Drosophila melanogaster: one gene and its partners. The protein of the gene in region 1 purifies or fractionates together with the protein of each later gene. This does not show direct contact. Each region holds a gene or a part of one and is shown in the gene's direction. Other genes may lie near its edges. The genes, in order: coro, mRpL23 and bru3.

Evidence for each region.
Region 2: the proteins of coro (region 1) and mRpL23 purify together in Drosophila melanogaster (affinity purification with mass spectrometry, with the first as the bait; one large-scale study listed by BioGRID). This does not show direct contact.
Region 3: the proteins of coro (region 1) and bru3 purify together in Drosophila melanogaster (affinity purification with mass spectrometry, with the first as the bait; one large-scale study listed by BioGRID). This does not show direct contact.

Annotation. Positions count from the first base shown.
Region 1 is NT_033778.4:6,859,751-6,872,381, reverse strand, and holds coro (coronin), read left to right. Parts: upstream 1-4,586; 5' UTR 4,587-4,815; intron 4,816-4,857; exon of another isoform or gene 4,858-4,900; intron 4,901-5,241; exon of another isoform or gene 5,242-5,385; intron 5,386-5,440; 5' UTR 5,441-5,497; coding exon 5,498-5,695; intron 5,696-6,497; coding exon of another isoform or gene 6,498-6,515; intron 6,516-7,007; coding exon 7,008-7,274; intron 7,275-7,332; coding exon 7,333-7,746; intron 7,747-7,810; coding exon 7,811-8,104; intron 8,105-8,827; coding exon 8,828-9,034; intron 9,035-9,092; coding exon 9,093-9,320; 3' UTR 9,321-10,122; downstream 10,123-12,631.
Region 2 is NT_037436.4:2,369,296-2,377,423, reverse strand, and holds mRpL23 (mitochondrial ribosomal protein L23), read left to right. Parts: upstream 1-3,719; 5' UTR 3,720-3,739; intron 3,740-3,745; exon of another isoform or gene 3,746-3,827; intron 3,828-3,922; exon of another isoform or gene 3,923-3,979; 5' UTR 3,980-4,001; coding exon 4,002-4,295; intron 4,296-4,356; coding exon 4,357-4,515; 3' UTR 4,516-4,580; downstream 4,581-8,128. Other genes in the region: CG15877 (uncharacterized protein), read left to right, coding at 1-148, 204-880; CG9004 (uncharacterized protein), read right to left, coding at 1,011-2,695, 2,749-3,628; CG8993 (uncharacterized protein), read right to left, coding at 4,652-4,898, 4,961-5,142; CG1317 (uncharacterized protein), read left to right, coding at 5,762-7,318, 7,376-8,128.
Region 3 is NT_037436.4:13,792,341-13,802,154, reverse strand, and holds the start of bru3 (bruno 3), read left to right. Parts: upstream 1-3,627; 5' UTR 3,628-4,131; intron 4,132-9,814.

The DNA of each region.
Region 1 (12,631 bases):
GTGACGTTGCGAGTGCTCGATGCAAATGCGGCGCTTAAGTAATGAACGCGCGTATTACAAAATCATTAAAAATCACGGTAAAAAAATAAGTGCGACAGCCGCCTTGCGACCATACGTGTGTGTGCGTGTGAGCATGTGTGCGCCGAGTGTGGCGTGCGTGCGCTGGTGTGCGTGCTTTCTTGTGCGAGCGGAGCGGCGAACGCAGTGCATGTGAAGAGTACCGCTATAAAAGTTTCGCCATCAGCTCTCCCGCTCGCTCACCGTGTTATATGAGTCCAACACCCAAAAAAGGGAATAAAGAGAGCCAAGCAGCAGCGTCTTTGGCAGCGCCAGTGCCGAAAAACGTTGCAAAAACGAGCGAATGAAATCAAACAACTCGCAGTCGAAATTGTTGTTTCGCACTTGATTGTATTAATTGTTTTTTTATGGTATTTGTTTTTTCTTCCTTGCGTTTCGCTGTAATTTGTCTGGCTTTTCCTTTCCGGCTCTCACTTGTTTACGCTGCGCGTGAGCGAGAGAGCGGGGAAGAGTGGCCGAGTGCGGGAGAAAGGAAAAGGGGGAGAGACTGTGCCAATTGTTGCTGGTGGAAGCAACAAGTTACTGATGGTCGAAGGGGGTGTGCTCTCAAAGGGCGCCAAAATGAGCTGGCATTTAAAATTTCGGAATATTGGCTAGCCATAAACGTGGCTTCCAATGGGCCCGAGTCCACAATTACGGTTCATTTCGTGCGTGCGAGCGAGAGCAAGTGTGAAAAACAAGCGACCTCCAGAGGTGTCTTCCAAAGTGCGCGCGAGCAAGCGAGAGAGCGCACAGCATACGCCCACACGCACAGCTATTTCGGTTGCTCCCCAAATGGGTTAAGAAGCGAAACTTAGCCAACACCAATTAGTGACAAAAATATGAGAAATGCACTGGAATGAAGCACACACACATACACATTCGAGTCCAAACGCCGATCGCGTTTATGCGTCAGCCAATGTCGCGATTACTCGGCGAACAACAGCTGTTCGACGATCGCAAAACAGGCGCACGTATGAACGCCAGTTAGACTGGCAATGGACACGCCAATTGGCGGCAATACCTCCGAAAAGAACTAGGAAGCACGTAATTTTGGGAAGCCACTGCTTGAATACCCTTTTGGATAGAAGGAACATCTGAAGTTGGAGTTTTACAGTCCACCCACTAATATTAAATTAAGAAATTATCATCATCATAGACTTGGAACCGAAAAATATAGATCGCTAATAATGCTTAAGAAAGCCCAAAACCTTAATTTAGAATTTAATCTACAAAACCTACATAGGGTGATTTATCTATTATTTCTAAGCCATATCTGGATAAATTAACTTTTACTTGACTACACCTAGAATAAAATTAACCTTGATTTTAGGAAACCGTCATTGATTCAAAATATCTCCACCCATTTAAGCATCAGTGTACATTAGTTACGGATTTTTCTTTTTCTTGTAATGGCAACATACATATAAAGAAAAAAAATTTTCTTGAAAGCTTTTCTAAAACCATTGATTTAACTTTTCTAAAATGAATATTACATGGATATCTCTAGACGTAAGAAAAGTCTTCTTTGTTCAATTGCTCGTCTTTATAGCGTTTGAGAATAAAAGGTGATTTTCTAAAATCCCGGGATAATTTTTTCTCAGTGCTTCACGTTTCACATTAATCAGGTAGACATCGTTTTACCTGGAATACGCGTTCAGGGCTATAGTTAGGCATCGAATGTGTAATTCTTAAAAGGGAAAGGTACTTTTATTCGCCCATTCGGTCTCAAAAAAATCCATGTACTTTGAATTTCTAGGGTGCACAGGCATTCACAATTGCCGCCCGGTCTGACTAAGCGCAAATGGAAAAATAGAAACAAACGGATGGCGGTCACAGTGGGGGGAGCTGGGGAGAAAAAGAACGAGCGGCAATTAAGACAGCAACAAAAGCCAGCGCCACTTGTGATGGCGAGGGGACGTGATGGGTGTCGGGTGGGGCACTGCATATGCATGGGGTTAATTTTAGCAGCAGAGTTCCACTTTCACTCGTACAGCGACGACACCCACTGTGCTGCAAGCCAGTGAGTCTGCCGCGACACTTGCGCGCTTTTTGTCAAAAACTTTGGCTAATCGCCGTCAGGCACGCACACTCTGCAATCAGTTTGATGAACCTTCAACACACACACGCCTGTGTGTGTATGTGCATGTATATGAGCTGCACAACCAATGACGTTGCGCCTGCATCAATGACATCATCATCATCATCATCGCCATCAACCTCACCATCCAGTCGAGATGAGGCGAACGGCGAAAGTTTCCAGTGCAGCCGACAGCCGATAAACAGCGGGCCCCTTATCAGGGGTGACTCATGCATGTGGCATTGATCATTGGCCAGCTGATTAGGTGTCGCTGCAGCTGTGCACAGGAAGAAAAGATACCACGAGTTAATCAAAACCAAGCCGCGCAACGCAAACATATATGTATACAATGTATGATGCCGTATTGATAACACCTGACTGAGCTACAACTGGTCTGATATCTTCACGTATCAAGACAAAGTTTTAATCCATAATTATATAGTATTAATTTTGTTTTAAACCACCTGCCTCTATGTAATTGTGGTGACACGTTAAAGGGAAGCACTTGAGTTTACAAAACTCCATATCCAATAACTCTACACATGAGTTAAGCGGAGTATGTTTAATACATATTTATTAATAACAGTTTTGTCTATACAAGAATGGTTTTGTGCCCTATGCTTTAGGAAAAGTTTGAACTATCAGTTGTAGCTACTTTAATCCGGAAACCATGATGGCATGTGGTCCTACACATTTAATAGATTCTTTTTCGAGTGTACTTGGGGAATAGAGATGTCATTATAACGGAAGTGGCCGGTGAACACAACGTGTCGACAAAGCGGCAAGATTTGCAATCAAGCATTAAGTCAATTCTCGGCCAGTCCCCGATCGCTGGACCATCGCATTCGCATCAATTCAGCGACGGTTGCATCTCTCGCGATTTCAACACAAATTGCTGGAGGGCCCCACAACAGCCCCATTGTCAAATGGTTAACGCGATTACAAGACAGTCGCTGCTGAAAGTTGGTTGACACCCGCTGGTTAAGTGGCGTGCGGATTAGTTGGTTACTTTTCAATAATGATTCAGCAACAGCCTGTTTCTAATTCTGGCAGAGACGCCTCCTAGAACCAAAATCTGACTCAGGACCTTTTTCAAGACCTTTTTCAAACGGAATTCTATTAATTCTAATTATACTATCAAAATCATTATGTTATTTAACCCCATTTCATTGTTATTAAGGTATACATACCTTTCATTTATAGAGAAGTTTATTCTGATTCGTCGAAAACGTTGCAACGATTCCGACCCTATGAAGAATATATTCCTGATCAGAATCGCAGGTTATAGGTAATTTCCGAATGTACTCAAGCGAGTTTTTAGAAGAAAAGAAAAACACTGTTGAACAATTTGAGAAACTAGTGACGCTCGCACCTTTGACATCTATTGTGAATAAATATAATACTAGACTTAAACACAATAACTAGGTAGATTGTGGACTTCCATCTAATGTGAGTTTTGAAGATCCGGTACTAATTTGAACCTTTGACTTAATTTCCTTTCGAATATCTTCAGAAACAGCCTTACATTTGGGGCCCACTGTAAAGAATGGAATGCAATGTGATGCTGGGTATTCAATCACACCACCCGGGTAATGGGCGTCGGGAATGAGTTCTTCAAAGATTTTCATTTCTTCAGCGATTTTCTTGAACCCACACTTCCGTTAATCGCTGAGTGGTCCGCTGATAAAACCACCGACGGTCAAGTTGATTAAGCGCAGAAGAGGCCACTTTTTTGGCCATTGCGAGCGGAATTGCGAATGCAATTATGATCGATCGGGGAAGTGGGAGTGGATGGGGGTGGCTCGACTATGATAACTCAGGCATGGCAGGTGCCAGCGATGCCAACGAAATAAATAAACACATCAAATGCGATTTACAACGCTGCTTTGAGCATCGTGCACTGTGTTTGTATATGAAAATTTCATTTCGCCTAAGATGATTTAATTTTCTATTAATAAGTTTGACCTTCAGCCGCGAAACAAAAATTTTCCCGCCTGCAAACGAAGGTGTTTGGCATATAAACACATAAATAACAACGCATACACACGCCGCAGATATATATATATATATATAGATAGATATATTCCGGGTACAGTGCTTAGGAGTATTTTCCAGTTGGTGGCAAACATTTCGGCGTCGTTTTGGACTACATAGGCGTAGCACTTAACATTATCTCTGTGGTGTTTAGCCAACTCCGAGCTGATATTTCCTTATCAGTGGAGAGGCCATGTCGATACCCACACCCACCCAAGAACAAAGCCCTCCGGGGCTCACCTTGTGGCCAAAAACAGACAGCGTAGAAAGTAATCAATTCTGGGGTCTGCTTTGGGGCCAGTTTAAAGGGGTCAATGACAAAGTTTAGTGCTTGCAATAAATATGAATATCTTTGAGCAAAACAAAACGAAGCAACGAGGCAAAAGAGGCAAATAATTTTATGGCACTTCTCTGATTAAAAACGAAAGCTGTTCGGAGTGGAAGCCTGCCGGGCTCGGCCCAACCCAGAAATGAATTCTGCTTCAAACACGTAGCTATCTAGAAGTCTCCCGGAGTGTTAGGTATATGTTTGGGCTTAGGTTGGCCTGCGGGATCGGTTTGCTCAGCCATAACTTACGTGTTGGAAGGCTACTCATTGCTGGAGTGGCTATTTTGGCGTTATGATGTCATCCTGAAAGAAAGGGGTATGGAAAACTGATAGTTCGACACGTTCCGGCTGGCGCTTCATTAACGAAAGTGGACCCGAATGTGGCAGTTGCCAAGTGGCAGGTGAAAGCGTTCTAGGCGCCTCCCGCCGTTTCCGGCGCTTTCAGTCGCCAACATTAGTGATGCCATAAGCAATTTGATGCAACCTCTCGCGGACAAAGTCAGCGCGTCAATAGCAAGCTGCGAATGGAAAGCTCATTGATTTTCGCAACAAGCGAAATTAGCATATGCAAATTTATTGAACTAATCGAGGCTGCGAAGCGCGGTGAAAGAAAAACGCGTTAAGCTAACACATAAGTGAGCGAAGCTGAAAGCGAATAACATTGCTATTCGGTCGGTTTATGCGTCGCTCAGAACTCGGATAAGGCTAAGATCACGATTTTCAGGTTTCACAGAACTGTGTAGAAAACAAAACCTATCAAATGAGTGTTCAAATCTCTGCCAAAAAGTAGGGGTTTCATATCTCATTCAGGTGCGGAAAGAATACGGCTAAACGATTTCGCTTGAAGACTTGTTATTAAGGGCAAAGGGTGGAAAATACCAAACGCGTAAGAAATTCCCCTACATTGCTAACTATCCTTCGTACGTCTCATTTCTTTTCAGAGCTAGACGTAGAGAAGCTCAGGACTGATCGCTGACCCAAGCCACTGCAGCATCAAGATGTCATTTCGCGTAGTGCGCAGCTCCAAGTTCCGCCACGTCTACGGACAGGCTCTCAAGCGGGAGCAGTGCTACGACAACATACGGGTATCCAAGTCCAGCTGGGACTCCACATTCTGCGCGGTGAATCCCAAGTTCCTGGCCATTATCGTAGAGTCGGCGGGCGGCGGAGCCTTCATCGTCCTGCCACACAACAAAGTGAGTGCGCCACCGGACCTATTATAGTTGCACTCGTCTACGTGCGTCTGCCCCGACGCGGCCAGCTTGGTGGGGTATTTTTAAACAAGACAATGGGCAACTATTTATAGCGCCCTTTTGGCATAAAGTTTGCGGCCATTTGCGGGCTTGTTGCCACGTCGCGAGTGACGTCGACGGATTTCGCATGACTCCACCCAATCTCACATGTGTTTATAAATAGTTATAGATTCTGCTACTACCGCGGCAGCGATACTGCTAGCTGGCGCACTTTTGTAATTTGGCCACTAGCCAACATGACAAACAAATCGTCTAATTTTAGAGAGAGGCAGAGGAGCAGCCAGTTAAATGAATACAAAAATGATATTCGGGCGAATCATTGCATCGAAATGCACACTCAGCTCGGCGACTTATTCCGCTAAAAACTAATTGTTTGTATTCCACTAAATTGCATTTTCAATCTCAAAATCTTTTGGCCGTCCTGCCCCAGATTCAGCTATTCGGGCTTCTGTTTAGTTGTAGTTTTGCGCGCAGCTCCAGCAAATAGTGTGGGCAGCAGAAGCACCCATTCCCCTAATCTTCCGATGCTCCTCTTTTGATGAAAACATATATGGAAGTACACCGATGGTCGTTCCATTTGAAACAAAAATTTGTATGCAAAACGCGCGGCAAGCGATCGTTTTTTTCACTCTAAGCAGTTGCCGCTTTTTTAAGTGATGATTTCTATGTGGAGCGGCTTTCACACGCCCTATTTTACTTATTTTATGGGCACTGGATGATGAGTGAGATCCATCTAGTCGCCAAGGTTGGCCGCATGTGGCAAGTGTAGGCAAGAACAAGCACAAGTTCTTGAAAAAACCAAAATAGATTTACACTCATGGAACTCATTCGAGAAACTTTTTGGAATGATACATTTTAATACATTTATTGAAAGCGATGAACAAAGAATATTATCTAATAATATATAACAATGTTAAATTTGAAATAGTTTACCATTACTATTTGTTATAATATGCTTCGAAATATATAGATTTCGATGGGAGCTATTCGGCATTCCAATTTTCTATAATTCTAGGGCCATATTCGGAAGCAATTGGCATGAAGTTTACAATTATAAATTGCCTGCTTGGCAGATTAGCGAACATAGCAGAACCGAGTGCAGTCGGAGTCGGCTATAAATAATAATTCAGGAATTGGGCTAATGGGTCGCGAGGTTGCAGTTTTGCAATGGTTGCTGCTCATGACTTAGTCGCCATCAATTATAAAAATTTACTGTGGCGTATCGAGCTAATTGAAATTTAATGGACTCTTTCAGGTTGGTCGCATTGCGGCTGACCACCCTTTGGTGGGCGGTCACAAGGGTCCTGTGCTGGACATCGCCTGGTGCCCCCACAACGACAACGTGATCGCCTCCGGCTCAGAGGACTGTGTGGTCAAAGTGTGGCAGATCCCCGATGGCGGGCTGTCGCGAACACTCACCGAACCCGTGGTCGACCTGGTTTTCCACCAGCGTCGCGTGGGTCTGGTGTTGTGGCATCCCTCTGCGCTCAACGTGCTGCTTACCGCCGGCTCCGATAACCAGGTGAGCGAATGCTAACACTTCTTCAGAAGCCCATGCTTATACTCTCTGTATTGCGAAGGTCGTGATTTGGAACGTGGGCACTGGTGAAATCCTCGTGCACATCGACTCCCATCCGGACATCGTTTACAGCGCCTGCTTCAACTGGGATGGCTCTAAGTTGGTTACCACCTGCAAGGATAAAAAGATCCGCATCTACGATCCGCGCACTGCCGAGCTGGAGAGCGAAGCCATGTGTCATGAGGGCTCCAAGGCCACGAGGGCCATTTTCCTACGTCACGGTCTGATCTTCACCACAGGCTTCAACCGTAGCTCGGAGCGTCAGTACTCCCTGCGCGCACCGGATGCCCTTAACGAACCCATTGTCATGGTGGAGCTGGACACGTCCAACGGCGTAATGTTCCCTCTTTACGACGCAGACACGAACATGATCTACTTGTGTGGAAAAGGTGACTCGGTCATTCGGTATTTCGAGGTTAGTACAAGTAAATCTACAATATTACATATGAATATTATCTAACCAAAATCTCATCGAACAGGTAACGCCCGAACCTCCTTTTGTGCACTACATAAACACGTTTCAGACTACAGAGCCGCAGCGTGGTATTGGTCTGATGCCCAAGCGAGGCTGTGATGTGACCACCTGCGAGGTCGCCAAGTTCTATCGCATGAACAACAACGGTCTGTGTCAGGTCATCTCGATGACTGTGCCGCGCAAATCGGATCTTTTCCAGGAGGATCTCTACCCCGATACGCTAGCGGAAGACGCTGCCATCACCGCGGAGGAGTGGATCGATGGCAAGGATGCGGATCCGATCACATTTTCGCTCAAAGTAAGTGGCTAAGGTGCAGAAGCAGCTCAGACTTTTATTCCGTGTTGCGAATACAGCGCTCGCCGCCGAATGCGGCAACGGTTCGGCCACACTGCCAACCATTCCGCCGGCGATAAGAGCGTACAAGATATAGGATATATATCAGCATGTGCGCCAGCGGGGCTTGTCCACAGATGGCAATGCGGCTCGAAGTCGATGAGGCAGTCGCTGCCACTGTGGACGCCCCTTCTACAATGTATTCCAACGGCTTTTGCAGTTGCTTTTGTCTGCTAGCACAAGGACTCCAAGTGAGCTACTTGTGAGTTCCGTTTAAAGCTTACTCCCAGCATTTGCCGGTGGCTACCTACCAGCGTGTGATGCCTGCGCTTGCTTTACTTACGTTTTTTCTGCGTTATCTACGTTTGTGCCTTGTCCGCCCAGCCACATTCCACTCCAATACACAGACTACAGTCCTCGTTCTCCGTTGTACAATGTCACTTGAGACGAGGCATCTTAAGAATGTTTTAGTGACGACCGGAATAAAGAGTATTCACAATGATCTAAAATGGTTTAGTATTCTAAATGTTAGCTAACTTATTAAAGTCTCCTATTGGATACAGTAACACGCCGCATAAATGCACACTTGGCCCTAACACGCACGCGAATGCGCGTGGCGCTTGTCGTTGTGTTCATTGTTGTTTGTTGTGTTCTGAAACGAACAGATTTTCTTACCCGCCTAATCAGGATCGCGTTTCCATTGTACAGGGTGGCTACGTGTCCTCGTCGGTAAACAAATCGCTACCAGCGAAGAAGGCGGGCAACATCCTGAACAAGCCTAGAGGCGACAGCGCTAGCTCCGGTGCAACGAGCAGCAGCGCGGGCGGCGGCAACTTTGCGTCCGGAAATAACAATGAGGCTAGCGAAGGTGGACCGCCTGCAGCGGTTTTATCGGTGAGTACTTGCACTCCTTCAGCGGTTGTATGATTAACTTATTGGTTCACTTCAAAAGGAAAAGGACCTGCGCACCATACAAGACGAGATCCGCAAACTTAAGGCGATCATCGTCAAGCAAGAGAACCGCATCCGCGCTCTGGAGGCCAAGGAGGACGCCCGCAACAAGAATGGAAGCGATGCTGCGCCGGCTTCAGCGGGAGCAGCCACGTCTGACGGCAAAGCCAGTGAAAGTGCCAACGACCACGCGTCCACATCAGCCGGAACGTCAAAGGACGAGGACTAGGTCTAGCAATGAAACGAGGACTGAACTGATAAAAATGGGCGGAATGGATTGGAGGAGAGACAGAGAACTGCTTGTAGAAGCTCGTAGCTACGCTTAATTTCTCTATTGCAACAAAGCGCGCTGAGGACGAATTGAAAAAGAACTTATTGTCTATTACCATTATGGTTTCGATTATTTATTTTTTATAATTTAATATTAGCGAAATCAGTTGAGTGCGGGTGTGGCACAGATAGGGTTAGAGAATGCCGAGCTAAATCATCTAATCGAACTTAAGCGAGCATAACCGAGCAGACCTGGACGCTTAACGTATAAAACATAACATAAAACTACATCCTGCCAAAAATATATAAAAAACCTAACGAACTACCTACATTTTGCGCCCAAAATCAAGCAGAGCGAAGGGCAGGTACTCGGCCCTTTGATCGGCTTGTTGTTACGCAAGTATGAAATTGTTGTAAATTTAACAAAGGCAAATCATAGACTAAACCTCAATCACTTAAGAGTTAACACCTACCTACCAAATTTGTACGAGCTCCTTTCTGTAACGTCTGTATATTTGTACGTCCCGGAAGTTTTCATGACAATAGCTGATAGAATCGATACTGTTCATCCTAGCTGAGGCCCCCTTAATCAGTCACATTTCCCTGCAAATTGTCGTGTCAAACATAGCGAATTTAGTAAGAAAGTGATGGGGGTCATCGGACTTAATTCGTTTTCGTAATCAAAATTTTATTGTTCAAACTAATGATAAGCTGTATTTTGAAATAATAAGAGTAACAATAAATGCAACAAAATCAGAAAGAAAGTAAGAAACCATCGAAACTATTTTTATAAAAATTTGTTTACTTTTCTTTTCTTTCATTTGATTTTACTTTCATTAGTTTTGTTAGAGAACCGAGGGCGAGAGCAGCGTCATTAAACACCTACCGATTTTGTAATTCACAACCATTGTAAAATGAAGACTATATACATATACATACATAAATACTCTATATACAAATAATTTACAATTTGATACGGAATAAAACAAAATACAATGCCAGAAGAAGTTGGGTGCTAATAATGGAGGTGTTTCGTATCTAATTCTTTTCGTAATGTGTGTTCTTTTAGCAGCATTTTCAAATATGTAGATGTTAGTCGACAATGGAATTTTTACCAGCTGCACTTTAAACTAATTGACAACTTTTAATTGCAGAAATAAGCTCATCCATGCGTTATTCATTGCCGAGCCTATGTGTTCGGTTCAATTGAATATGCAAATTCGTTTAATTTTGCCTAAACAGCTTTTGAGCATACTGCCGATGTGTTGTGTGTAATTATTACCTCAGCGAGCAAACCAAAAAAATGCAATTACAATTTACGTGTACAACGATTCTGACATTTTAATTAAACTTGGCCAAGTGCGCTTTTGTGGGTGGCGCGTGGCAATTATGATATAGTGTGTTGCCGACCAAGTTGTTGATTTAATTAAAATTATGTTTGTTATGCAATTTGACTCACTGCAAGTTTCAGCGATTATCGGTTGCAGTCGGTAGCTGTGGGCCATCTTGGTTAGCCAACAGTAAAGGCCATCTAGCTGCTCTAGAGCAACCAGACGTGGACTTGATATTCGGAGTTCAACATTAAATACTATCAATTATATTAAGTAAGTTCGATCAAATTATTAACTGAGTCATAGATGCATTTGTTAACTTTGAACTAAGATTTCGTTTTTCAGACTGTCAATAAATTTCAGCCGGCGTCGAGATGTACGAGTATTTCAGTTAGTAATTAATCGTAACAAACTTTCAGTACTGGCTTAAAGTATTCCATTTGGTAATGAGGTCTTGAAAAAAGTTAACAGTCGGTTTCGGATTAGGGTAATGGAATTTGTAAAGCAATGATAGCTAAATGTGTAGGTTGTTTTATTTTTAGCGCTTTACTTGTTTAAAGACCCAATGCACAGTTTCCTCCAACCCTTCTCCAACTGTTCATAAAAAAATTATATGCAAAGGTGAAGGGTTCTTCCCTAAATAAATGTTCTATTCTACGTGGCTTTTGCACGATGTGATTAGAAATGTGATCTGGCCGTCAAATGGATGAATTAAAATGGCCATTTAAGAAGTCATTTGTCAAGTGATGTATCCATTCTTGAAATTGCTTGGTAACTTGTTTAACATTTGGCTTTCCTACCAATTTAAAAGTAACCTTCAAAAAACCAGCTGGACATCACCTAACTTTATGAATTTCCAAGGACAATTCATTACACTATATGCACTTACTGCAGCATTAGTTGTCAGTACTGTGATTATCCTTGGTAGTAACTTGGGTAGTACATTTATGCAAAAATTACATTGATTGTGCATTCTTCAGTAATCCAGACAGATTGGACCAAAGCCGCTATCAAATCAAGTTATAATCATGACTTTTGATGGGCCAGTAGATTATGATGCCCGGCGGCAGTAAAGGCCAAGCCTAATTTATGTCTACTTCCGCATCCAGGTAAGTTTACGGCCTTCTATTAACATTAACGCTCTACGATTGTCGAAACCGATGGAAGGCATTTGTTAATTAAAAGCAAGCAGCAAATGTGCCAGGAGCAGAAGGACGTGGGAACACGTGCTAAATAAATACTCCTTGCTAAAGTTGCTAAGTACCAGCAGAGGTATCGCCTCTCCAGGACCTCAAAAGGACCCCCACCGAACCCCCTTGACGGCGGCTCTGTCGTAAATTCACGCGGCCCGTGGCTTTGTTTGTGTTTGCTTGCGTGCTCCTCGTCCTGTTAATGCATAAAGAAGTATACGCGCGCACAAAAGGAGCCGTCAAAACATTACTTTCTCGTGTCGGCGGCTCGTGTTTGGGTATTTGTTTATTTTCGCATGAAAATAAATGCGTATAATGGCGGAAGTTTATGCCTCGTAAAGAGAAGTTAATTAGCTTTCTGGAGTATAAAATTTGTTACGCACTCTGCCCTTGATCAACCAACCACATCCCATCATACCGCCGCCGTACGTTCTCAATAGCAAATTGAAAATTTTCCAATAACACATCCAAATATATGCCCACAGAAAGTTGGCCAACTTTCTTCACCCTTGACTACTATTGCTGCACGAGTGCAGTGGGAAAAATATTGAAGCTACGTGTTTGGTTATTGGTAAAGCAAAGTAAAGTATCGTTCCTCAACAATTATAGTAGACTTTGGCGACTTTGCGGCGCATTTCGTTACTAAGTTAACTACAGTCCACGGTTCATTCAAAATGTACAATACATGCCCATGGATGATTTGCACGAGGCAAATGACGGTATAGGTTCTATAATGCTCTATTCTCAGA
Region 2 (8,128 bases), on another chromosome or scaffold:
ACTGAACTGGAGAAAAAGGTCAAGCGCCAGGGCAAAAAACGCAAGCACGAGGTGACTAAGAACCCTGAGCATGCGGCCAGCGACGACGAGGTGGCCAACAAAAGTCTAATTCTAGCTCCACAGGTAGATCAACAGGAGGTTCCAACAGGTGTGTTTCAGCTCAAATCTATATCGGCTTTGTGTAACATGTCCAACATTTACAGATAAACCCGCCAAGAGGCGGCATAAAGAATCAGAAGTATCGGCCACTAAGAAACAAAGCAGGAAAAACCAAGCGGAGGAGCAGGTGGCCACCAGTGGAAGCGATGAAAGTCTTCCTCAGAAGCCTCAGAAGAGAAAACAAGTCCAGGATGCCAACGAAACCAAAAAGCTGAAACGCAGCAAAACGCAGGAAAATAACTCGGATGAAGACGACGATGTGGACTCCCAGCCCACAGCAGCGCAACTAAAAGAAGCAGCTCGTCCGGAGAACGCTTATGCAGTGGTTACAGTGCGCCAAAAGAAGAAACAGAAGCACCAGCAGCGCCTCGAGGCCCAAAAGAGTCAGAGCTCCAACAAAGATGCCAAAGTCAACAAGGAATATCTTCTAAAATGGAAGGAATCCCGCCAGGATTGGAAGTTCAACAAACTGCGACAGATTTCCATACAACAAACCGCCTTTGATGTGGAGAAACTGGATGACGAGCTGTGGCCAACTGCTCTGGAGTATTTGGCCAGTTCCCAGGGAGCAGCGCGCTCAAAGATCAGTCAGTTGGCCGAGGAGGTGATCCAGAAACTGGACAAGGAGGGCGAAAAGCTGGAGGACGAGGCGGAAAGGCGAAAGCTAATCGAGTCCACGCAGTACCGGCGGGCACGCGATCTCCTCCAAAGCTTCGACTAGTTTATTATGTTAGTTGTTAATTTTTGCCTTAGGAATAAATTACACATGCCTTCCTATTTTACAAAAACTTGTCCTTTATTTGTTTTATAGCATCCTCATTATGAATATTTTACAAATTTACAACTTATAACTACAGGTCCACATAGGCTAAAAGTTTGTCTATGTGATCAACGCGCTGCTGCAGAAGCTGTCGATCCTCGTCCTTCAGCTTAAGTTTGTCCAGCTGTTCCTCTTGCAAAAGAAAATGCTGCAGGAAGAGCCTTACGCTTTGCTTAAACTGCTGCAGTTTGGTGTTTTTGGCAACTCTTTCGAACGTCTGATAAATCTCGCGTTCATCGTTAGCCAAAAGCAGCCTGACCATCACTTCCTTCATAAAGTAAAAGCTGAGCTTGTCCAGCTGCATAAAGTCGACTACTTTGAGCACTGACAGCTGCAGACCAGCAGCTAGGATTACTTGCTGCAGAAAACTAGCCAGGTTGCGAATCTGCGGCTTGGAAAGCTTTTCGATATCATTGATTCTGTCCCAACTGGCAAACTGGAAAGCCAGTTGATACTTTCTGTTGAATTGACAGAACTTAAGTGCCAAATGAGCGTAATAGGGGTTAGCACGCTTCTCATTCAGAGCGCAATGGATGATCACGTAGGCCACCGCTCGCTGGTCCTTCAGAGACAAATGCAGAATCTTCTCAAAGGCGTCCACATAATCGGCGGCGCTCATGATGATGCAGAAGATATTCCTCCTTTCGGCTGTGTTCATCTGCTGCTTTCTGGCCAGCTCCAGTAGCTGATCCGCAAAACCTCCGTTGGCAGACTTCGATGAGTTCTTATCCTGCTTTTGCTTGGCGGATCCCATCTCATCCAGATTTCCCGTCCAGGCAGAGCCCACAATCCACCATTTGCCCACTTTATCAGCACGCAGGAGGTCCTCCAGGGTTATGTTCAGAGTCACCACGTAGCGATCATTCTTCAGCATGGCCTTCAAACGCTTTCGCAGATTCTCCGCCAACTCGGGATCATACTGCGGCAGCTTTTGCATATTGTTGTTTTTGACTGCATTTAGAATATCGACCATGAAACGCAGGCGTGGATTCTCTTTCAGTTCCAGTGGGGCACTAGCAATTTGCGATTGAACTTTTTGCATCATGGTCTTAAAGGCCAGTGGATCGTCCTTGCGCAGCCGGAAGCCAATGGACTGGAAGATCAGCAAAAGGCACTCCACGCTCTTCTCGCAAAGCTGATCTGACAATTTGCCTATGAGCTCCATCAGCAAATTCAGCTCGTAGATCTTGAAGAGGTACATGTAGCAGAGCACCAGTACTAGGTTATTCAGCTGCTTATCCTCCACCTCCAGGGTAGCGATGTTCTTGACATAACCATCGAATAACTCCACAAAAGTCTGCAGGAAATGCGCTCCAATCTCGCTGCCAACCTGGGCATGTAGGTAGGCCAGCAGCACCATGTGTTCCTGTACCATTCGCTCGTTGGTTCGCGTGTAGCCGAGAAGGGCTTCTTGAATTAACTTGGTTAGTGTTTCGTTCATGTTGTAGCGGGAGTTTTTCATGTACAGCTCCTCGATGCCGGCGGCAATCTTGTGCAGATTCGCTTCTGACAAACGATTGAGCAGACCCTTGCATTGCTTTAGAAGGCGAGCTAGTATCTCTGCCTGTTTTTCACTTGATCCCGCGCTGGCTGCCATCAAAGCTCGCTGATGTGGCGGTATGTACTTTTGACCGGCGGCTGAGGCCTCGAGCTCCACGGGATCAGGCAGGATGTTTCCCTCGGCGTCGCGTTTGCGTCCGTAGATGTCCTCTTTAACTGTAATTAATTCGTTAATTAAATGAAAAACTCTAAACGATGAATGTACTCACTCTTAGGTGCATTCTCTTCCTGCTCCGAATCCTCCTCGCTTTGTTCTTCCTCTCCAGTTAGGTCTTCATCATCATCTTCACCCTCAGAGCCACTGTCATCTTCTGAGAAGTTATCCATGGGCTCATCCCTGTCCTCCTTATCCTCTTCCTCATCGCTCCACATTCCCGCCTCCTCCTTTTCTTGCTGCTCCTTCAGCTTTTTCTTACGTTCCTGCTTCTCCTCCCACTTCCGCTTCTCCTCCTCGTCATCCAGGACAAAGTCAAGCAGGTAGTCCAGGCCATCATTGAACATCTTCCGCACCAAGCGGTTTTTGTCCTTGGATTTGTTGAGCTTCAGCTTCTTTTCCAGCTTGTTGATCTCGCGATCATCCTCCTCGTTCTCTATGCGAAGTTGCTTGATTCGCTGCTTCTTGGACTTGCTCTCCAGTTCCTTTTGCTGGCGCAGTTCCTTCCGCCTGACCGCCTCTTCATCCTGTCTTTGGATGGCGCCTCCTGTCGTTTTCTTGACCTTTTTTCCCAGAGGTTCATAGACTTCCATCTTTTCCCTTGCGGGCAGCAGAGCATCCACCTCCGCATCGCTGAAATCCGAATCTATGGACTCGTCATCGTCGCTGTCTATTTCACCGGACAAAAGTTGCTCCTTGGGTATTTCATCTGGATTTATTATTTTGGGCTTCTTGCTCCGTTTCTTCTTCTTGTTTTTGCCCAGCTGCGACTGCGCTGCCAACGCCTCTGCCGCCGCCGCCACGCGCTGTGTTCCGTTAGTTTTGCCGGCGAAATAAAGTCGTTTATTCTGTTTTTTGAACTCCGACTTCTGTTTTCTCTGCTCCTTGCGAGTCAAAGGTTTAGCTTTCGCCTCCTTTTTCTTTATTTTTGCCATTTTAAACGGCCTTTACCAGAGATTTCAGCCGGACCGAATTTAAAAATTGTTGTGGTTGACAATCAGCTGTTTAAAACAAGTGTTGGACAACCCACGTGCTTTTACACGGGTGTAGGTAACAGTTCTTTGAGAGGAATCTAGATTTAGTGATATTATTTTTTAAAAGTGGTAAAAGTGTGGAATATTTTATAGTTACAGCGTAATAACTTAAATTAATATATACGTTAAGTTTTAGTTAACAATCTTATGCGACCCCCTTGCTACGCCTGTGTCCGCCCGAAACCTTTGGCCTTTTTTAGTGCATTTCATAAACGCACAACAATTAATTTAATTTTTGTATTCTTGAATTAGAATCTTAGATCCTGGCTAGATCATGTCCACGAGGTGGTATCCCATCTATCAGCGCGGCAATCCGCAGCTTCGCGTTTTCCTTCCCAACTTCTGGATGAAGCTAATCCGACCCACGGAGGAACAGCCACCCAATGTGGTCACTTTTTCGGTGTCCATGGAAATGACCAAGTACGATGTGCGTAACTATCTGGAGAAGATCTACAAGCTGCCGGTGGTGGATGTGCGTACTCGGATTGCCATGGGCGAGACCAAGAAGGATCAGACCTACGGCTACATCACCAAAAAAGACGACGTGAAGCTGGCTTATGTAACATTGGTATGGCCCACTACAAGCCCCTGATTCAATGGATATTTCCAATGATATTTGTGTATTCCAGCCCAGGGAGGAGTCCTTTGTCTTCCCCGACTTCTTTTCCGAAAAGGCTGAGAAGCAGGCCAAGGAGGAAAAGTCGCTGGATGAATCGAAAGCCGGTTTCCGCAGATTTCTGGACAGGAACAAGAAGCGACCCGGCACGCCGGGCTGGTTTTCCATTTAGTTTTTAGTGTGTAATCGTAGTACTTTTCGTTTCAACGGGTAAATAAACATTTATTTCGAAAGTCCGAATTAACCTAAAGCTCAGCTTTATTTGCGAGGAGGTCAACCTCCACTTTTTTTTTGGGATTTCTCAATTATTACTTGGCCTGTTTGACGGCGGCGGCAACCCAGGCCCGGATTTTGTCCTCGTCCTGGAGTCCCACCATGCGCTGCACCTCCTTGCCGTTCTGCAGCACCACTAGCACGGGCACGGCGGCCACATCGTAGTCCAGAGCCAGTTCGCTGTGCTCATCTATGTCCACCTTGGCCAGCTTGATGGAACCGGCCTGTTCGCCCACAATACTCTCGATGCGCGGGGTTAGCAGCTTGCAGGGATTGCACCAGCTGGTGGATTACAATATAAACATTAATTTGCCATGTCCTCAAATTGAAAATATAAAAATTACGTTGCGAAGAAGTCCACAATCACGGGCTGCTGGCTGTTCTTTACTTTCTTGTCAAAGTCCTCGGCGCTCTGGACTTTGAAGATCTCCTGTCGCGGCGCAGAAACTGACAGCATGCGAATTTGCTGGCCGCTAGCCAGGCGACGCGTCGTCTGTCCCAGAATGTTAATAATCTGTCGCTGCATGGCTTATTTTCTACAATTTCTCAGTGCAAAAAGTTCAGCGATTGATTGCAAAATAATGACAAGAGAATCAGAACAACAACAATGAGTGTGGTGGGGTTGCCAGATGGATTGGTATTGCCTAATGATGTGTGCACACACTGTTTCATTAACTGTTACTTCCCGGTCATGATAATTTTGTTTTATATTATTTAAGTTAAAAACTTATATTTATTAACCATAACTATGTAATCTTTTTTAATTTTCAATTTATGATTAAAAAATGAATAACGATATTTCGTTCTCTCAATCTATCGAACTAGTTGGCATCTCCGTTGAGAAAATAATCAGCAATTTCATGGTGTGCACACATTGGCTCTCCTTTTTTTGAGAAGTAGTCTTGTTTTGTTTTGTCGTAATAATATCCCAACTTTTCGGTTAAAATTCAAGTGTTACAATCGCATTACGGTCCGTAATCATCGAAAGGTTAATTGGCGCACATAAAAGGCGGGTATAATCGTCTTAAAACCCCCGTACCCTCGGGTCAATTACGGAAATTGTCCAGCGAATTTCGCAAATGACCAGTGGAACTTTAGTAATTCAGTCAAACTGAAGACCCAGGATCCGGGAAAAAGTTATCAGTATGGACGACCTGTCGCAGGGCGACATTTGCCGCGTGTGCAGATGCGAGGCACAGCCGGATAGGCCTCTTTTCTACCCGTGCATCTGCACTGGATCGATCAAGTACATTCATCAGGACTGCCTGATGTTATGGATGCGCTACTCGCACAAGGAATACTGCGAGCTGTGCAGCTACAGCTTCAGCTTTCAGCCCATCTATGCTCCGGATATGCCGCGAGTCCTGCCGATAAAGGATGTCCTTGTGGGACTGATGTCCGCCGTTTTGGAGGGCGCTCGCTGCTGGCTTCATTACACCCTGGTCGGTTTGGCCTGGTTCGGAGTGGTGCCGCTGTCTGCCTACAGGACCTATCGGTACCTCTTCCGGGCGAGCTCCTTCGATATGATTCTCACGCTGCCCTTTGACATCTTCTCCGTTGAAAACCTGGCATCGGATGCCTTTCGGGGCTGTTTTGTGGTCACATGCACACTTTTGTCCTTCATAGGATTGGTCTGGCTGCGCGAGCAGATCCTGCATGGCGGCGGACCCGATTGGCTGGAGCGGGACGATGCCCCTCTACAGGCAGCGGCTGCTAATCCTGCGCCTGATCCCGCCGCCGAGGCAGCTCCACAGCCTCAGGACGACAACAACAATGCCGACGACAATGAAGCGCCGGCTCCAGCGGACAACGATGGGCAGGATGCCCAGGCCCAGGATGCCGCACCAGCGGCTGCAGCTCCCGTCGTGGACGCCGATGCCGATGAGCAGAATTGGAATCCCATGGAGTGGGATCGGGCTGCCGAGGAGCTTACCTGGGAACGCCTGCTCGGACTCGATGGCTCGCTAGTTTTTCTGGAGCACGTCTTCTGGATCATCTCACTGAACACCATGTTCATCTTCACCTTCGCCTTTTGTCCCTACTGCGTGGGCAACTTCATTCTGAGCTCCATGGATCTTTTGCAGCCCGAGAAACCACTGCTACACTTTCACGGCCTGATTACCACGCTATTTGGTTACTGCTGCATTGGATTGACCCTGGTGGTGCTGCACTTCTTCTCCAGAGTTTTCCGCCTGCGGAGAGTCTGCTGGTTCATTGGATTGTGCTATATTGTGGTCAAGGTGTCGCTGCTGTCGGTGTTGGAGATCGGAGTACTCCCGCTGATTTGCGGCTGGTGGCTGGACATTTGTTCGTTGCCCCTACTAGATGCCAGCCTCAAGGATCGTAAAGAGAGTTTTAAGGCTGCTCCGGGCACCTCACTTTTTGTCCACTGGATGTTTGGCATGGTATACGTTTACTACTTCGCTGCGTTTGTATCGTTGTTGCGCGAGGTGCTGCGACCGGGAGTGCTCTGGATATTCCGCAATGTCAACGATCCTGACTTCAGTCCCATCCAGGAAATGATCCATGTACCAATTGTGAGACACATCCGGCGGCTGGTCGCTTCGGCTATGATCTTTGGATTTGCAGTGCTCTTGATGCTCTGGCTGCCCATTAGAATTCTGCAGGTGGTTTGTCCGGACTTCTTGCCATATGCACTTAGTGGCGATTCAGCGGTTAACTTGCAATTGCTGCTCTTACAAGTAAGTTACCCGCAAACTTATTTGAATAACTTAAACAATCTAAACTCGCCATTCCAGATCGTTTTGCCGGGCTTCTTCGAGCAGACCCAAACACGCATCTGGCTAAAGGGCTTGCTGCGCATTTGGTGCACAGCGGTGGCCTGGTTGCTGGGCATACGAAGCTACCTGCTCCCAGCACCGGAGCCGGAACCGGAAATTCCCGCTGCTGGAGAAGAAGGCGTGGAGAATGCCGCTGGCGAAAATGAAAACCAGGAAGGTGAGGCAGCGGATGCGGCAGCCCAACCACCAGCACCACCTCCTCCACCGCCACCGCCAGTGGAACCGGCGCCGGCACCACGAAACCTTGCCGCCGCCCATCAGGCCATCATGCAACGGGATGCACCCGTGGGATTCCAGCCGTACGACAAGCCATCGCTGTTCGCTTTACGTTTGTGTGCCCTGTTGGCACTCATGTGTTTGTCCATCGTTTGTGCTGCCATGTTGACGCTCACGGTTCCAGTCTACATCGGTCGGCGGCTGATGTTGATCTGGTCCTCCCAGCCGGATGAGAAGGCAGCTGGAGCGGCAGCCGCAGAAGGAGCGGGCGAAGTGGTTGAAAATCTAGATCCAATCGATCCGGAAGGAGCCAGAAAGAACGAGCGACTACTGCGCTCGCATGAGCTGTACACCGCTGAGCTTGGTGGTTACCTGTGCTGGATTGTCTGCCGGGTAGTAGCTGCGGTGGTCACCCTGCTGCCACAAGGCCGCGCGGCTATTGTCGACAAGATAAAGCACTGGGTCCGAGTGGCATTGCAATATGCCCTGCCCGTT
Region 3 (9,814 bases), on another chromosome or scaffold:
GCTGCAGCTGCCGGCTTGAAACGCTCCATTTGTGCAGCCAATCGCTACAGGCGGCGGCCTGTTATTTATACCCTAACCAAGCTGATGGAATAAGGATTATTAAGGATATGCTAAAATGAAAAGTAATTTGAACTGACCTTCGGAATGGAAATTGCGCCTTCAAATTAATTTACCCTGTGATAAAAGATAACTAGAAGAGTGTATTATTTGACTTGAGTCTAGCAGAAAGTGTACTAAAAATTCGTATAATAGCAAACGTATTTTCTTAATATACATTAGTTTGCCCCCTTAAGCTTGTGGTTCCAGAGCCTGACTGCCTCTCGCGCATTGAGTTCATTACCCCGTTGTGGTTAAGAAGGAGTGGCGGGCTTAGGCAGACTAATGTAATATTTAAGCGACAGAAATATTCACAAAAAGTTCAGCTTAATCGCAAGCTGCATCTGTTGCTATACCAACTTTTGCCTGGTATTTAAGTAAGGCATCAAAATTAAGCAAAACCTACGGAGTCTGCCCGAGGGAAGCCAAGCCCAAAACCACTTATTGCCAAAGTTTCGGCAAACTCCTTCATTTCATTATTGATTATTTCCAACCTTTATTTTCTACGCTTTATTTTGTTACAATACCCAGTTCAAGTTCCTCAGCTCTGAACTCTCTTTTTATGAGTACTTTAAAACTCCTCGAGTTCCGCTGACTTTTACTAACTTTGATGGCAGAAGCGCACGGATGAAAAGATTTGTGACGATTATTAAAAATAATTTTTTCCCCTTTTTGTGGCATTTAAGTGAGTAGCTGTAAAAATCTATAACGTTATTTTGGCGAGAAATAGAAAATTGGCAAAAATAGTATTGTAGTTGACTAAAGACGAAAACTTTAAAAATACCAAAATTGTACCCACATGTAAGGAACAAGACGAATTGTAAAGAAGCATTTAAGCTGACTTACAAAACTTAATGGTGCCAGAATTGCCAGGGCCTTTGAGAGGATTCTCTCTGTTTAAATCGTTCCACAGTAGTGTGATCTAAGCTTGTTTTGGTCCTTACAATATAGCAAATGTCGTCAAATCCATACACAGAAGTAAACATCCACAAACACAGACACTTATGGGCAGACCCAGAAAGCCACGGGCATTGCCTTCTAAGTCTCGTCCTTTTTTTCCACTGTTGTCCTTTTTATTTATCTCGCTTGCTCATTTTTGTGTTTTTGTTTTGCATTCTCAACGAGGCCAAACCGCACACACACGCACGCCCCCATGCAAATAACGCCACACACACACACATATACACCCATACACCCACACACATACACGCGCACACATAGACATGGTGAATGAGAAGAAGACAAGGCGTGACAAGTGCAGGCTTCATCCGAACGTGCCCTCTGCACTCAGCCCCTCCACCACCTCTACCTCCTCCCCCGACGCCTGTCAAGTCAACACCCTTCTCCGCCCGCTGCCATAACCAAAAAGAGGAAAAACTTTAACTAGATGCATATATAAATTGCGTTCTATATATTTATGCCCCGACATATATGCAAATGCATCATGGCTGCGCGGCAGTGGAGGCACAGCTTCTATTAAATATGCTTATTATGACACAAGCAAACATACAAACTTAATGTTTATTGGGTTCTTGGCGTTGGGTTCACAAGAGCAGAAAAAATATTTAATTGATAAATTCAGCAACGATAGCTTTACTGGCTGATTTAAGTGGATACAATTAAAACTAGTTTCTCTTTCTCTATTTGCGCAGTTCTTTCGATTTATTTGTTATAATTAAATTAATATGATTTATTTTAACCGATTTATTTGCACACAAAAAATAGTGTAAAAATTTTTTAAATATTGAAAAAAAAAAAACGTATAAACGCTAGTATTTCGCAGCTTTTTAAATTTGCCTTTAAATTGAGCTTCTGATTAATAGCGCCTGTTTTTTATGCCGGCAAAGTCCTTCCTTTTTTGTGTTAAAGATATCCTCTTCCATTCTCATCTGGTGTTTTCGATGTTTCTCCCTTAGGCTTTTTGGCTCATCTTAACTCACAGCGTTCCTTTTTAGTTTCACTGTCTCCATTCGTTTTGCCTTCCATAAATAAAATAAATGTAGGTGAAAATATACATAAATAATGGGCACAAGCGCGGCTTTTTTTATGAAGTGTTTGAATGTGCGAGTGTCAACCCAGGGCACTTGAAAGATGGTGGGGAGGGGGGCTTGTGATGGGGGCGACGTCTGTGAAAATTATAAAACAGACGACGCAGCCATTCTGGCGGGGCAAAGATATTATGGCCTCTGAAGGCTGAGAAGGGGACCCCTGCCATGTAGGCGTGTGTAAATAGCAAAAACCTAGTCGGGCGTACACAAGCCAAGTCATCATGGAAAATGGCTAAACAGGCAAAAGAATAAGGGCCAAAGAAGATAGAAAGATAACAGAGTGGAAGGCATGACAAATACGTTTTCTCTGCCTTTTTTTTATGGCATATACATATATGCCCCGAGGTAGTGGGACGTATAAAGTTTGACCTCCAATCAATAAATCACATTAAAAGGGGATCTTTCAAGAAATGAAGAGAATGACAATGGACAAAGATGGCCAATAACTGACCCATAATTGTTCATTGTCACGTCATTGTCCGCGTCAGTTGCTCAAGGCACATGAGAATAGTATCCAGCAAGAAATGTATTTATTCTTGGCCTCTTTTTCGTTCTTTTCCGCTAATTATTGTGTAATATTAATCTTATTAATAAATAACAAGGAATCATAGTATCCATATACTAAGAAACATCTCTCTAATAGCTAAGAAGTATCCTTTTCTTGTCACCTAGATCTCGCTTTTCTCCGCAAGCTAGATATACAGCCCAAGTATCCTTAATAAACACCGCACCGATAAATGACTGTTACTCATAGTATTCACCTAGAAAGGATGATGTACTTTTCCCCGAAATGAACACTTCGCCATTAAATGGGTGAGGAGTATCCTTTTTGTATCACTTGGCTCTGGATTTTCGCCGCTTTTCTCTCTTCATTTTCTTCTGGGCCAGTCAGGTCTCATCATCCGCTTGCGCTTTTTTCTCAGCTTTTGGCTTGATTTCCTTTTTTGTCGCTACAGCCAGAGTCCTTTTGCTCCGCGCTTGCCTTTTACTAGCCCAGACTGCGCCCACAAAGACGTGTACATATATGTGTTTTTCCAGCTGCCAAAAGGCTGCGCTTGGCTTCTTCGCAGCCAGTGTTTTGTTTTTGGCTTCGTCAGCCAACTTTAGCTATTGACAGACCTTGCCACCTCGCGTCCATGTCCTTGCTGGAAAACATTTCGCTTTCAGCGCTCATTTTGCAGGATGTCGGGAAAGTGATGTAAAAAATATACACAACAATTTCAAGATATCTTCTGTGGCCTATACTGCGTGCCCAAAAGCCATAATTATCACGCGTTCACATGGCGTATACGAGATTTTGCTGTTTCGCGTTTAAACTCTTAACCGAAATTTATGCTTTCGCTGTTGCTAATTGTACATTTTGTTGCTCTTGCTGTTTATAATGTAAAATTTATTGTGTTTGTGCATGTTTATTATCGCCACGCCGTTACGCGCCCTCATATGGATTTGTAACACGCCCCCCTACACCCCCTCTTTAAACATCACTGTGCATTTATGTTTTACAGCGTCTGCAAAAAATATTATCAAAAGTAATAAATGAATAACAAAATACAAAACAAACGCCATCAATAATTCATGGGAAAAAAAACAACACAAACAGAAATAACCAAAAATAAAAGCTTGCGGCGCGTCGTTCTTTAAATATTTTATAAATTAATTCTGCAAACAGCGTAAGCGAAATTAAAAAATACAACAAAAACATCAGGAATTAATGTAGTGCCTAATGCAATGTGTAATAAAACCGTGTAGACCAGGAGGTGCGCCAGATCATTAAATACCAGCAAACACTGTTAGGTGAAAAAAAAAAAAAAATTATGAAATACAAATTTATATTTATTATTGAATAAATATGCAGAGTAAATATTACATATGCTAACCGTGAAAACAAATTGAATTATACAGCAAATAAAACAACAAATACTTTTCGTCGTGTTTTCGAATGTTTGGCTATTAAAGCGCTTACAGCTTAATTGGGCGTTACAAAGTGGTAAGTAAAAAAATAAACACTTTTGATAAACAATTATTTTTGAAAATATAAATTATTAAAATGATTTTAGTCAAAAGTTTCATAGAATAAGAAGATGCTTTACATATTCATAGTGTTATATTTTGATATATGTCCGTTTCTCTTTTTATTTTTTTAGCCCACATTAATCAAACGACTATCTCAGTAAATTTGCACAGTATTATTATAGTTTAATTCATCGCACAAAAGACTCCTTAATCTTTCATGCAGCGATCTTTTAATATCCTCTAACTATTATCAAAACATATCAAAAATTGTAATTAAGATACCATTGCATTTCCCTTGGTAAATATATCACAGTTTTTTCTAATTTAAACACACGTACACAACGTCGTTCATGGCTTTATCAGCCAACTTTGCTGATTCAAAGATATCTGTCGACCCTCATCCATCAACAAAAACCCAACCACAAATGTCACATGCAAATTCGGTTCGCCTTGTAACGGAAGTGCAAGCAAAAAATAGCGAAAGATTTTTATACATAACTTTTTATGCTACTCATTGTTGGGAGCAGAAACTTCAACCTCCTTCCAACGGTTTGAGGTGGTGCTTGCTGCACTTTTGCGGCGAGGTGAGCTGTACGGGTGTGTGCACGTTTTTGCATTTGCACCACTTTATTTCAATTTTATTCGCCATTTTCTTCGTTTGCGTGGTACATTTCCTGGGGACGAGACGCAGCAGTGACTTTTGCTCGGCAGCTGACTCGACTCCACTTTCCGTTTACCCTGGGCTGCCCTCCTCATTACCCTCTTTACATTTCTAATTACACGCTCATTTTAAACTTGAAACATTTGCAAACGGATGCCTGGGTCTGGAGGAGTCTGCGATTTTCAGTAACAATTTTCCATTTCCCATGCCATGAGGCTGCAAAAATGTTGGGTCACAAACGTAATAGACCAGATTTTCCTGTGACTGCTAAAGAAACCTAGCTGGCCGACCACAAATGTCTGGCATCTAGGGCTTGATTTGGAGACAAGTCTTGCATTTGACAATTTTCTTTCATTTTGGGGCCTGAAAACATTTTCCTACAATGTTCTCAATATATTCCACTATTTTCGAGTTCATTTTAAGACCAATTGATATTACTAGTAGTATTTAATCTTAAATGTTCGCTTAGGGAATAGTAATTTTTAATTGCCGTTTTTATACTTAGAACACAAAAAGTAGACACTGTAATTTGCGAACCCTGGACATACCAAACGCGTTTTCGTTTTGTTAAGTTACTAAAAAATTAAAACAATGCTGCATGTCCATTTTGCATGTGAGGAAACATTTGGCGCGCAAGTAAATGTGCATGTGGGTGAGATGGTTTTTGCCGTTTCTAGACTGCTCTTTGTTTGAGTTGTGTTTTAATTTCCATATTACGTGCTGGCCAGAGATTTATCAATGCGATTTATATAAGCCATAATTTCTCCATTTCACCCAGAAGTAAGTTAGTAAATTACTGCAATCGCTTGCAACATCAATGGGTAAAATTTAACAGCAATAACCTTACATAAGATTTCACTATTTTCCTTTTTTTATAATAGTTTGAAAAATTTATATTATTAATTGTTTAATTAGAAATAGAATAAGTATGGATTAGAAAGTAATAATGAAGTGAAAGGAAGCGGCGTTGACTTACGTTGCCATTTGACCTTTTCAGGCCCCTTGAAGGGCAATTCTAACACACTGTCTCTCTCACAGGAAATGTTTATAACATGTCCTCCTTTGACAACTTATTCAATGAAAAGTTTCAAATAGTAGCTTATGAATAGTAAAAGAAAGATTATGAAATCTATTGGTAAGCGTTTAAAATGTAATTGAAATATTGCTCATACGCAGCATGTGCCCATTTATTGAAACTGGAAAGAATGCCAAGTTGGTTCATACCCAGTTGGCCCAATCAGGCCAATTCAATGACATAAATCTTAAGGCAATAAAGCAAAGAATGTCGCAGCATGAGACTATTATATTGTGCATACTGAGCTGGTAAAGCAAATCTCGTAAATGTACTAATATAAAATTGGTATTAATGGGCTGTCGCCTTAGGTGAAATTACCTTTAAGAATAATTGTATAAACAAGCAAGGGGATAGGAAGTTTAATAAGAAAGTATAAACTTTATAATTGAGAAAACTATTTAAGCCTATTTAAGCTTTTTTTATCTAACCTTTATCTCAACTTTTTCCGTTCTATGGTTCTACTTTTGCGTCTTTAAATTTAGCAATTGCCGCACTTGTAGGAAAGTTTCAATTATAAGTCAGTGTGCCAAAAATTGTTTCACAAACTCTAATTAATTTATAGTGCTTCACAACTCGTAGCTTAAATGGTGCAGTTGATAAATTGGCGAGATAAAATTATAATAATGCTGATGTGGAAATAAAATATGCAAAATACTTATTGTACAACTCGTTCCTATTTAATGATATCTTTTCTCAGTTACTATTAAATATGTTAATCTGCGCAAAGCGGCACTAAAAAAAATACACCAACACGCAGGTAAAACTGAAAATACCTTTAAAGAAAACAAACTTCAGCGGCGCTATCAACTGCAGATTTCGCTGTTGGTATTGCCAATTTAAGCGAAAATTAAATTGGAATTTGCAATGAATATTTGAACAAAAGTACACAGACCAGAGTGCGGTAAGCGAGCAGTGGTAATGGGATCGAAGCGAGAGGATGGGCATAGGCTGCATGAAATGAACACAAGTGTTGAGCAAAGTGAATGCGTAATGCGTTTTTGCACCCGGAACAGGACAGGACCACCAAAAAAAAAAAAAAAAAAGTCGGACGCTGTCAGTCACCCAGGTCCGTAATTTGCAGCCCGGGTATTCCGCTGAGTTGTTTCCTCCGGTATATGTGGTTTTTCTTTGATATCCTAACAAAAAGGATGAACTCATCAGAAAAGGATTTGTAGCTCTTCAGAAATAATGATTTCACATGCTCGCATTTACAAATACCACTTTTAATATTTATTAAGTCTTTTATTTTAGATGTTCTCTAATGTTTTGGTCCTAAAAAATTAAGTTCTGTACAGCACGCTCTTAAAGAACAAATAGAAAAAACGTTGGGCGCCAATCTTTCGTTTACATGTTAAGATAAAGGCTTAATCTATAATATATATACGTCACAAAGCTTATATTATTCCATAGACGATGTGAATAAGTTTTGAAATGAGTTTTCAATAGAGGCCTTCAAAATCAGGAAGTTGCTTTCTGATTGAGTGAAGCTTGTTTGGTAGGTCTCTGAAAATGTGCACGCCTGCCCAGAACAAATCCATTCCTTGATGTTGACCCCTTTAGATCGAACGGCAATTGCAATGGATTTGATTTTTCCATACTTTGCCGTCGAGCGTGACATCCACGTAGCCCTTCACGCTTCTCCCGCTTCCGCCCTTCTGTCACATGTGAAATTGGGCGGCTGACATGTTTGCCTGTGTTTTTTTTTTTTTTTTTTGCCACCACCTCCCGTTTTTCCATTGCTCATGTTAGAGTAGGTAATTTTTTAATGCATTTAAACGGCTGTCAAGTGGCCCACACACGCCACTTCGCTTCTGAAACCGCTCCACATTGCCTCCGTGCCCCATCCTTTGCCCTTTGTTAGCAGTTTTGGAAAGTGACGCGGCGCGAGCAGTTGCCCAAAAATATGCAAAAACCCGCGAGCACTTACGACAAGCTCGTTGCGAAGGCAGGAGGACTATATCAGGTTGCGGCCCTCAACAGCAAAGCAAAATTTAGACATTCAGCCTACAGTTTGGTGTTCAGTTTTCATTCACCGAAAAGTGAAACCAAATAGAAAAAAAATGCTTTTTCGAGGAAATAGCGCACAGTCGATGGGTAGTTAGTTGCTTGACGAAATTCGTTCATTGTCCTGTAGATTAGGAGAAATATAGCTACAAGGCTATGTCTAGTTGTATCATAAACAACAAGTCAGTTGCAGGATTGTTATGTTTGCAAAAATCAATAAGTTAATAGGAAATGGATCGGCATTGATAATACACATGCTGCTTGGCAGAACATCTAGGATTCGTTGTAAAACGTGCTTTTATTTCCCTTTGTTTTGAGCACTCACAACGTTGGCTTGCCTGTCGGAGCAGAGTCAAGTAGAGGACATACAAAATTGAAATAAAGTACAAACATGTTGCCAACTTTTTGCACAGCAGCAACAACAACAACAATAACCACTGTCTGTCATTCAGTCTGTCGGTCTGTGGAATGGTTTAGGCCCATAACAACAACAACAAACAACAACAACAACAGCGACGGAGAGCGAGGCAGGAAAAAGTTTTAACTGATTACGTTTGCTGTTGATAATGTTGAGTGACATTTGGTTTGCGTATTAACTTAAGTGAGCGACAGCAGCTGTCTGTCCCCCGCCAACTGAACGCATACACATACACACGTACAAATGTGGAGTGTCCTGGATCCACCCACGGATTCACCCCTTTTGGGAGCTCTCCGGATTGCCAGGAGGTTTGTATTTCAATTAAAAAATTAATTTTTTAATGTGACCCGCTGATGGGGCTCTGCATCCCGATGAATGGCAAATGCTTTTAGAAATTAATGTGGACGAAAGAAAGCCAACAATCGAGTTGGGATGAATTATATGTTGGTATAATGAATTGTAAAAGTTATTTATGCTGGTATCAGCAGCCATACCATATAATCAGGATTCAATAAAATCGTCAAGCTCTTTTTTACCCTCCACCTGGCTCAAGTAATTGTATACATTGGCACTAGAATCGCTCAGGTTGTATTTTTGTCGCGTTGCCAAATTCAAATATCTTTTAAGTCCTTTTTGCCAAGCCAATAAACCAGCACTTAACCGCAATTACCCCCCGTTTTTCGGCAAACAAGGGGGTCGGGCAAAGAGCAGCGTTTTTTATGCCACTCTTGTACTCGCAACCTCTTCTTTATCCTTTCTCCCAGCCACCCCAAAGCCCCCCTCTGAATGTGCACTGCAATCAGTCTTCATTTACACTTTGCACCTGGGGCGCTTGGCTTGCCGTTAGTCTCTCAACTCAGCTCTCGGTTCCCAAGGCCCACTACGTAGTACCCACTACCAACTACCTACTACCTACTACCTACTACCTACTACCCACGCCCCAGTTCACAGTTCAGAGTTCCCAGTTCAGTTCGGCAACACGAAAAGAGTGTTTTGGGGATGGAGTAGGATGGGTGCTTCTGGTGGGTCGGAGGTAAATCTAAACCGGGCACCCAACAACTTTAAACTCGCATGCAAGCTCGAAGGCCAGAGACACAGCGTAGTATGAGTTACACGGAAAAGAGTTGAGTTGAAAAACGGTGGCAAAAACAAAAATCTCTGCTCCCCCAGAAATCTGTTACAAGCTGTTACATACATGTTTATGGGGAGTATAAGTGGACGTGGCAGGATGGACTGACTGCTGCACATGCCATTACAATTTCGGGCGATGATTAACAGTTGGGGAGTGATTTTTGATATTACTCGTATAAGGCTAACAAGTTGGGCAAGGGGTAGCTTAAGCGTCTATCAACACGGTTTGTTGGATTGCTTACTGGTTTTTATTATAAAACTGTGTACTTTGTTTTGTTGTATTTGGCCGTGCTGTTGTTACAAAGTTGCCCTTTCATGTAACGAACAACAACCGACCAACTCACGCCAAATACAAGTCAGATGTTAAG